Ovis aries: one gene and its partner. The protein of the gene in region 2 purifies or fractionates together with the protein of the main gene of each other region. This does not show direct contact. Links are inferred from orthologs where the notes say so. Each region holds a gene or a part of one and is shown on either strand. Other genes may lie near its edges.

The links.
Region 1: the proteins of DUSP9 (region 2) and MAPK3 purify together in Homo sapiens (affinity purification with mass spectrometry; 4 studies listed by BioGRID and IntAct, with this or other methods). This does not show direct contact. The link is inferred for Ovis aries from reciprocal best matches to the Homo sapiens genes DUSP9 and MAPK3.

Annotation. Positions count from the first base shown.
Region 1 is NC_056077.1:26,691,717-26,696,281, forward strand, and holds the start of MAPK3 (mitogen-activated protein kinase 3), read left to right. Parts: upstream 1-1,507; 5' UTR 1,508-1,529; coding exon 1,530-1,702; intron 1,703-2,729; coding exon 2,730-2,912; intron 2,913-4,565.
Region 2 is NC_056080.1:80,631,151-80,635,721, reverse strand, and holds the start of DUSP9 (dual specificity protein phosphatase 9), read left to right. Parts: upstream 1-1,537; 5' UTR 1,538-1,685; intron 1,686-4,571. UniProt on the Homo sapiens protein: Inactivates MAP kinases. Has a specificity for the ERK family.

The sequences.
Region 1 (4,565 bases), on a different chromosome or scaffold from region 2:
TCCTAGCTCAGAGCTTTGCACACAGTGCCAGTCAATAGCTTATCAAATGAATAACACCACCAACAAAAAAACCCATTGATCTAATTAGCACATCTTGAACCTTCACTGACTTGTGGGTTCCTGGGAACTAGCAACTCTCAGTGTTACTAATCTGAATTAGAATGCCTGACCATAGATCTAATTATGAGCAATTTCAGAATCATAATTTCTGTTCCATTTTGTCTCTTGATCTTTAGTGCATACAAGGACATACTCCCAGCTTCCAAGGAAGACAAAAACAACGTGATTACTTCCTGAAGCCTAGGAGATGTGTTTTGTGAAGCTCCCAGCTCACATCTTCACTGTGAAGTGGAGATGGATTGGATGGTCTCTTCAGTTTAACAGTCTGGGAGACAGAATGCAATTAAAAAGAACTTCTGCCTGTGTGTCAGAAGATACATGTTAGTCTCAGCTCCTCAACTCTCAGATTTCCCATTCTGTAAAACTTTGATTCACCTATTCCAAAATTTTTGAGTGTCTACATTTGACTGTAGGGATGGGGGTGGGTGGGGGCTACAGCAATGAACAAGACAGACATGGCCCTCTGCTCATCCAGCTCAGAAAACCAGATGACACCTACACTGTGGGGTGGTTCTAATGAAGAAATTAAAGTGGACCAAATGCTGTGTAAACTATGAAGTCTAGCACAGGAGCAAAAGATGATGATCTCGGTTCCAATTTTTGTCAAATCCAAGGACAACAAAAATGTTAGCTATCCTGCTGTTTCTGAGTAAAGCCTGAGAGTGTATTTTTCACCAAACCCAGTCCACGCAGCCCTCACCTCTTCCCTATGCCTCCATGTAAAGGTAGGCTGGGATTATCTGTCCTCAGGATACAGGCACTGCCAGGTTGCTGAGGTCCGGTCCCTAGCCCACTTTGACAGGTCTCCATTCGAAAACCATTAGGCAGGGAGTCAAGATGCCTGGGCTTTCCAGCAATCAAGTTACCTTGCCCAGTCACCTTCAGTTTCCACATCTGTGAAAGAGGCCCCATGTGTGAGGAAGCCACCTGTCACGGCTACTATGAAATAAGCATCATATCACTCGGCATCGGGCCTGGCTCCAGGAGGTTCCACCTCGAGCCCCGGGCTACTCCTCGGGCCGAGTGGGCACAGCGGGGCCACGTGGCCCGGTCTGGGTCCCAGCTCCAGCACTCATTTGCTAGGTGGCTCTGGGTGAGGTCACCGGGCCGCCCTACCGGTCAGCATTCGGTGGCGGGGGTGGGGGGGGAGGGTCTGGACAGTCTCGAGACTGCCCTGGGGAGCTTCTACGTTGACTGGAGCAGACGAGGCCGACAGGTGCCAGGGACCACAGCCCCAGCAGCGGGAAAACGGCGCGCGCGCGGCGGGGAGAGTCACGTGACGCCGCGGGGGCGGACGGGGGCGGGGCCTGGCGCGCGCGGCTCCGCGGGTGAGAGGGCGGGCGGGAAGGGGCGGGGCCTCGGGCGGGGCCGCCGGGGGGAGGCGGGCGGGCGGGAGGGGAGGAGTGGAGATGGCGGCGGCGGCGGCGGCTCAGGGGGGCGGGGGCGGGGAGCCCCGGGGAACTGATGGGGTCGGCCCGGGGGTCCCGGGGGAGGTGGAGATAGTAAAGGGGCAGCCGTTCGACGTGGGCCCGCGCTACACGCAGCTGCAGTACATCGGCGAGGGCGCGTACGGCATGGTCAGGTGAGGGGCGTTCTGGGGGAGGGGGCGTCTCTGGGGAGGGGGCGGAGAGGGGTGCTGAGAGCTCTCTGGGCCTTGCGGACTCTGAGCATCCTGAAGAAGCCGGGGCTTCAGGAGGCTGGGGAGCGTCCCAGGCGGAGGGCCTTTGAGTGCTTTCTGGGGGAGGGGGTCACTGCGTAAGGTCTCAGGAGAGGAGGTTTGGGAGCTTTGAACTGACTATTCAATAATGAAGGGTAGGGCATCAGAGTGTATGTGGGGGAGCTCTGGGGACCTTGGGGACCCCATAATCACGGGGTGAGGAGAAGAGAATTAGTCTTCTTGGGGAGGTGATATCCTTAGTGAAGAAGGAGAGAGGGTCCCCTCACTGGGGAGAGGATGTCTTGGATCACCCCCCAGTGAGGCTTGCCAAGGAGTTTGGGAAAAAAGAGCAAAGCTCAGGGCTGGGTGGGGTGGGGTGGGGCTTTGGGCCTGGGGCCAGGGACCCAGTGAGCCATGAGGGGTCCAGGAACACCTTCCTGCAACTTTTAGGAGGGGTCTGTGAGTTCTCCTATCCGCACTGGGTGCTCTGGGCCTTTGTTCAGCTGGACATAGCTCTGCTGCCCAGGAACCTCCCCCTGACACCCGCCCCGGCCCTGCCTCTCCCTTCTCTCCAGTCCCTCCTCCGACTCCCTCCTTCTCACTGTATTTGCCTCATTGTCCAGTCCTCCACATCTCCCACCCCCTGGACCCGTCTTGGCTTGAGAGAGCCCATCGTGGGAAGGGGAGGATGAGGGGTCAGGGCAGCTCGAATGGAAAGGGTTGAGGAGAGGGGAAGTCAGTGAGCGGTCAGTCTCTTCCTCTGTTTGTGAAGTCACCGAAGGGCTGGCTGGCTGGTCCCCAGCTTTCTCCCTGGAGATCCCAGGCCTTCACAGCAGGAAGGAACTAGCATTGTTTATGACTGGCCAGAGCCCTCTCCTGCTCCCTCCCCGCCCTGCCAAGGCCTGGGTGGGGCCACCGGGCCTGGACACCAACATCTCTCTGGCCCTCTCAGCTCAGCTTACGACCACGTGCGCAAGACTCGAGTGGCCATCAAGAAGATCAGCCCCTTTGAGCATCAGACCTACTGCCAGCGCACGTTGCGAGAGATTCAGATTCTGCTGCGCTTCCGCCATGAGAATGTCATTGGCATCCGAGACATTCTGCGAGCACCCACCCTGGAAGCCATGAGGGATGTGTATCCTTCACCTGGGCCAGACGGCTGGCCAGGCCCAGCCTCAGAGCCGGGCTGGGAGAACAGGGGCTTGTTTTCTCTTCCCTTCTTCCCAACCTCCCTCCAAACAAACCCAGTAAAGGAAACTTTCCAGCGGTCAAGAGGCCACAGTGTAAGAAGGCAGAGAGGCCTCAGATGAATCCTGGCCTGCTGCGGCCAGGCAGTGTGGCCTTGGGCAAGTCTGTTCTCTCGATCTTGGCTTCGTAGGGGGCTGGGCAAGATGAGCCCTGTGGAAGCTTTGTCCTCTGACATCGGCAATTCTGTGAGGAGATCCAGCCTCTGCCCACAGTCAGCTCTTCTGTTTAACTGATGGCAGTTCTTGTTTCTCTGGGTCCTCAGACTGGCAGGAAGGCAGGCGGGAAGAACACTGCCCTGTTTTGAGGGCCTACTGTGAGTCTGGTGCAGCTCAAGCCGAGTGCTTTGACATTTCCTATTCTAACTCCCAACTGCCCTAGGAGATGGGTCTCAGCAGCTCCATTTCAAAGATGAGGAAACTGAGGCTCAGAAAACTGAAATAAAATCAAGTGCTTCTGTGGCTGCCTCTTCCCCTCCCCCAGACAAGAACCTGTCCCCTCTCTGGGACTTCCTGCTCAGAGTCCCACCCCAGTCACCTGTGGACTCGTACCTTGCCCAGGGAGGAACAGACCTGCCTTTGTGGCCCCCCCGACCCACACACACACATTGCTTTCCTAGTTTGTGGGTCCACTTCCTGCCTGGCTCTGTTAGGAGCTTTTACACTCATCACCTCTCCCCTACCCCACCCACCCCCACCATCCCAGTCCTTCCCCCAAGAGTGGTGATCTGTACTGCACTGTTTGCAGCCCCCACCACAAACTGTGGGCAGGAAACTTCCACACTCACCCTCAGCTTGTCGTGTGACCTTAACCAAGTCACTGCAGCATGCCGGGCCTCTTCATCTTTAAAATAGCAGGGTTGGTCCAGGTGTTCTCGGAAGGCCCTTTTGAGGCTGACTCTGAAAGACAGCCATAACTGAGTCTTCCAGAAACAACCCACATGACGTTTATTTGTTTGTTTATGTTTAATTCTTTTTTTATCTTAGAGTATAAAAGGACATTTACTCCTCTGTCTTCGGGTGTAGGGCCAAGCCCCCGGAGTAGGAGCGTGCCGCTGGGAAGTTTCTCCTCATTCGTCTTGCACAAACCATCCCCATAAGGCAGGCATTTATTTTTAAGCAAACATTTATTGCCTGCCAGATGGTGTTCATACATAATCTCATTTAACCTTCTCAACAGCCATGTGGCTCAGTCTTTTATAACAGCAATACTAGTTCACATTTGCCGAACATTTACAACGTGCCAGGCACCAAGCTGGCTGCACTGCCTGGGTCATCTCTCAACTAATCTTTACCACCACTCTCTAAAAAGGATTTTTTTTCCCCTTTACAGATGAGGAAGAGAGGCGCAGACAGGGCTTGAGTTCCTAAAGTGAATGAATGACCAGTGCAGGAATGATTGACAGTGGCAGGTGAACTCCAGAGTTACTGCTCTTAGCTGGGACGTTCTCCTGCTTCCCAGTTTATTATCCCCATTTTCTCAATAGGGAGACTGAGGCTACAGAACTGCGACGCTTTGCTCAGGGTCACCAGCTGAGATCCAG
Region 2 (4,571 bases):
CTCCAACCTTTCCAGAAACTCCTCTGTGAGTCAGCTCACCAAGCCTTTGCAGGGGGCTGAGTGCCCAGGGCCAGGGGCACGGCTGCCGTGTGTCTTCCCCAAATGGGAGGGTCCCCAGGGGAGCTGGCCCCCATCTTTTCTGGTTTCTGTGTATTTTGCCCCTTGACAGACCAAAATGGTCCTATTGCTGAACGGCATGCCTTTTAGCACAGGCTGCTATCTTAGCAAAGGGCCCTCTGACTCCAGGACAGCTGGCAGCATGGATGGCACAGAAGCATGGGGCAGAGTGGCAGGACCCACCCAAACCACCACCGGTTTCGTTTGCCCACCTGCGTGCCATCGTCTTGGCAGTTTGATTCCACGCCAGCCCCTGGGGCCTTGCTGCTGAATGGGAGGTGAACGATCAGCCCGGCCCACAGATGCACCTGCCAGCAAGGGTAGCCCCGAAAGGCCCAGCCGCTCAAGAGGGAAGGGTGGTAAGGGCAAGCACGTGCTGAGGGCCGAAGGAGGCCAAAGGGCGGGCTGGGCCTGCCAGGCTGGTGGCATCTGGACCCTGCCCCAGCTCCCACACCCTGGAGAGAGACTGCTGCAAAGCTGGTGAGGGCCCTGGGAGATGGTGAGGTCTGCTCCATCCCCAAACATGCAGCCTCTGTCCTCTCTTTCCCAAAGGTGATGACTCAGGGGAATTCAGGCTACCGCTGGCATCCCAGCCCTCCCTGCGTCCCCCTCCACTCTGGCCCTGTCACCACACAGCGGCGTGACCCCCGGGAAACCACTGCCTCAGTTTCCCTACCTATAGCAGGGGAACCGTCTCCTCCAACTCCCAGATGGGTGTAAAAACCAAAGGAGGCCCGTTATGGGGGGCGGACCCTGGCCCGAGGGCCAGAGGAAAGCACCCCAGGCCTGCAGACAGCACCTCCTCCCTGACCCACCCCCACCGTCCTGGCCGCACCCCTTCCAGGCACTCAAGCCCCAAAGCTCCAGGAGCCAGAATCTGATACGGGAGGATGGCAGAAGACAGGGGTCGGAGGACCGCGGGTTGGGCGCTTCGGATGCTCTCACCCGGACCTTACAGCTTAGCCCCTGGGACATCAGGAGGTGGCCCCGGGGGCCAAGCTGTGCCTGGTCCTCGATGGCCGCAGGAGTGCCAGGGCGGACTGTTCCAGGCAGCCCAGCCCAGGCCCGACCGAGGTCAGGACCTCCCACCCAACTCTGGCGGCCCAGGCTCGGAGACCCCGCGGCGAGGCGGCTGGGAGCCGGGGCTGCAGGGGCATCCCCCCGCCCCCGCCGAGAGGGGCCGCCGAGGGCAGAGCGGGCTGCGGGCGGCAGGTGGGAGGCAGGCGGGCAGGGGAGGTGGGAGCAGACGCCAAGCAGGCCGCGGCCCCTCCCCGCTCCCTCCTCGCGCGCCTCCGCCGGCGACATTGCCCCTCCTGGGCAGGGGGCGGAGAAGACGGCGGCGGGAGGGGAGGAGGCGGCGGCGGCGGAGGCGGGATTTGGAGTTTCCCTCCGCAGCGGCGGCGGCGGCGGCGGCGGCGGCAGCGGCCCCTCGGCTCCAGGCGAGGCCGCCGCCCGAGGCTCCGGTGGCGCGCGGCGGCCGCGGCGGTAGCGCTTCCCGCCGGCCGGGCTTTCGGAAACTTCCCGGCCGCGACGCGCGGAGCCGGCGCAGGAAGCCGAGCGGAACGGAGGTGAGCGGGGCACGCGGCGCCCGGGCACCCACCCCACCCCCACCCCGCCTGGCCGCCCCCCCGACGTGTGTGCGCCTCCGCCCTGCGCCCCCAAAGTCTCGCCAGCGCGCACCCCGCCAGGCCGACGCACGCGCCCCTGGGAGACCCACTCAGTGCGCCCGCCCGTGCACTCCGTGTCCATGGCCACGCACACCCCCTGACACTTACACGCGCGTGCACAAACCGTGCACCGCGGACCCAGGGCCCTGCAGTGCACGCCCCGGCAGCCGCTAAGTCACCATCGACTACTGTCCCCAACTCAGGCCAGCACCCATCCCAGACGCTGCCACGCCTCAGTACACACCCAGGCGCGCGAGAGCGTGCGCGCGCGCGTTCACACACCCCACACACACACACACACACAGACGCACACACACACATAGATACCCAACACATCCTTGGGATATCTGCACTAACACAGCTCCCCTCGCCGGCCTGCACCATCTCCAACTCCCCATATGCTCATCACAGACACCCCACCCACGTTCCCAGCCCAGAGACGCTGACATCCACCCATCCCTGGACGAAGCCCCAACAGGAACCCTCACCCAGAGGCCGACGCTGCACTCCTGAAGCCCAGCTGGCTCCCCAGGCCTGCACCTCGTACACCCCCAATATGTGTGCACACCTGCAGGATTCTGGCTCTTGGACACCCTGGCCCGCACCCATGGCACATAGCCCTGCACGTCCTCTAACACATTTCAGTCCCTCCCTCCAACACCTGGCACACGGGTTCTGGAGGCTGCAGCATTTGGTGGCATCTCTGCCAGGCGCCACTGGCTCGCCTTTGCAGCAGTGGTTCACCACCCTGAGGCCCCCCAGGTGGCTCCCTAAACAGGCCCTGGGTCTCCCCAGAGACTGACTTGGCCTGGTCCCTAAGAGATAAGGAAGGCACTGGGGGTGCAAGGTACTGTACTTAGATGGGGGAGGGCAAGGGAGAGGCAGGCAATTGAGATGGAAGCCACCCAGCTGCGGCCAAAGGGGCCCCAGGTGTTGGCAAGCACATAGTAGGTGGCTTTCCTGGAGGCAGGAATCGGAGTGCCTGTGTGTGTGTGTGTGTGTCCGCCTGCCAGTGTGGTGGGGGGCGGGTGGGGGGAGGGTAGGAACCACGTGCACACGTGTGCTTCTGTGTGTCTGGGTGAGTGACCTGCTGAGGGAGAAAGCCACCCCCCGGGCTCCCTGGTGCAACAATTGGTTTCATTCATTCATGCCTTCTTTGTTCCCGAGCATTTCTTCCATGAGCGCCGCGTGCCAGGCCCTTCCCTGGGGGGCTGGGGCCAGCTCAGGGCAGGGTACACAACCGCTTCTGCCATGGAGGAACTCCCAGTCCCGCCAGGAGGCCGACCCGGCAAAAGCCATCCCCGGCGGAAAGTAGATGTGGAGGAAAAGACACCGGATTTGCCCGGAGCGCTGTGTCTGGGAGTTCTAACCGGGCCGGACGGCCCAATTGCCGCCACCAGGCCGGCGGGGACCCGAGTGTTTGGGGGTGGAGGCGGGCTTGTGGCGAGCAGGCGGGGCGCCGCTCTCGGGAGGCTCCCGGGCCCCAGGGGCGCATGGGCAGCGCGCTAGAGGCCTATGGGCAGCGGCGTTTCCGCGGCCTCCGAGGGGCACTGCTTGGGCTGGGCGGAGGCCAGGGGCGCCCGGCAGGAGAAGGGGGCGGGCGGCGGGCGCAGCGCCCACCCTACGGGAAGTGCGCGGCCGAGCTCTGCCCGCTTGAGAGGGCCTGGGGAGGCCACTGCGCGCCTGGAGCGCGCGCGCCTGGGAAGTGGGTGCGGGGCCCAGTGTCGGAGCCCCCACCTCAGCCGGCGCTGCGGGGGGCCTGGCGAGGGTCGGGGGAGGGGGGCTTGGTGGCACTCAGCCCTGCACTGCGGAGGTGGCAACAGGTTTCAGGATATCTTCCTGCTTCTGGCGCAGCGGGAGCTGCTGGCGCTGGGCAGTGAGCACTTTGGTGATTGAACGCCCCCCCCCCCCCCCCCCGCAAAGCTCACTCTCAGCTGACCAGCAGAGATCTGGGCAAGGGGCAGACCCCCACGACCCCCGCCCAGGGGCAGAATTTGCCTCCCTGGCCTGATGCTGGTTCCCTCCCCCAGAGAGCCCTCTCCAGAAAGCAGGCCTTGGCACGGCAGGGCGACCCTCTCTCCAACCCCCGAGACCACAGCACCGGACAGGAGCAGGGTGTGTCTCTCTTGGGCAGCCACCCCCACTCTGGCGACTTGGCCAAGCCAGACACACCAGGCTGGCACATCCCGGAACCCCTGGGTGCCTTCAACCCCAGCCCACTCCGGGGTCCTGCCCACAGCTGCAGCAGGCCTGGAGGGAGCCCCCCAGGGTTGGTGGCTTCCCACCTCTGCCTGTGGGAACTGGGATGTGAGAGAAATGAAATGCACACACAAACCCCCGCCCCCCTCCACTCGGCTCCAGCCTAGCTGGTAACCTCAGGGAACTGAGGTCTGGAGCACAGAGGAGGGAGACAGAAACCTGGGGGAAGGGGAGTGAAGAAGGAATAGAATCAGGACAGGCTGCAGAGGAGGCAGCCCAGGCTAAGGGCGAGGGGACCCAGCCCAGCTGCCCACGGCCCCTGGAGCCAGGTGATGGGACTCATCCCAGAGACCAAGACATGGGGGAGTGTGGCTGGAGACAAGTCTCAGCCTGGTGGCCCACTGGGCTGGGAAGGGAGGCAGGGTAGGAAGGGGCAACCAGAGGCCCCTATGAGGCAACCTGGCTATCTGTGACCTGCCCTCTCCCCAGCAATACCTCTTGCTTTTTCCCATCCTATTTTATGTTCTGATCAGTGACCTTCCAGCAGTTTTGCACCTTTCACTCCTTAGTTACCCCTCTTATGGTACC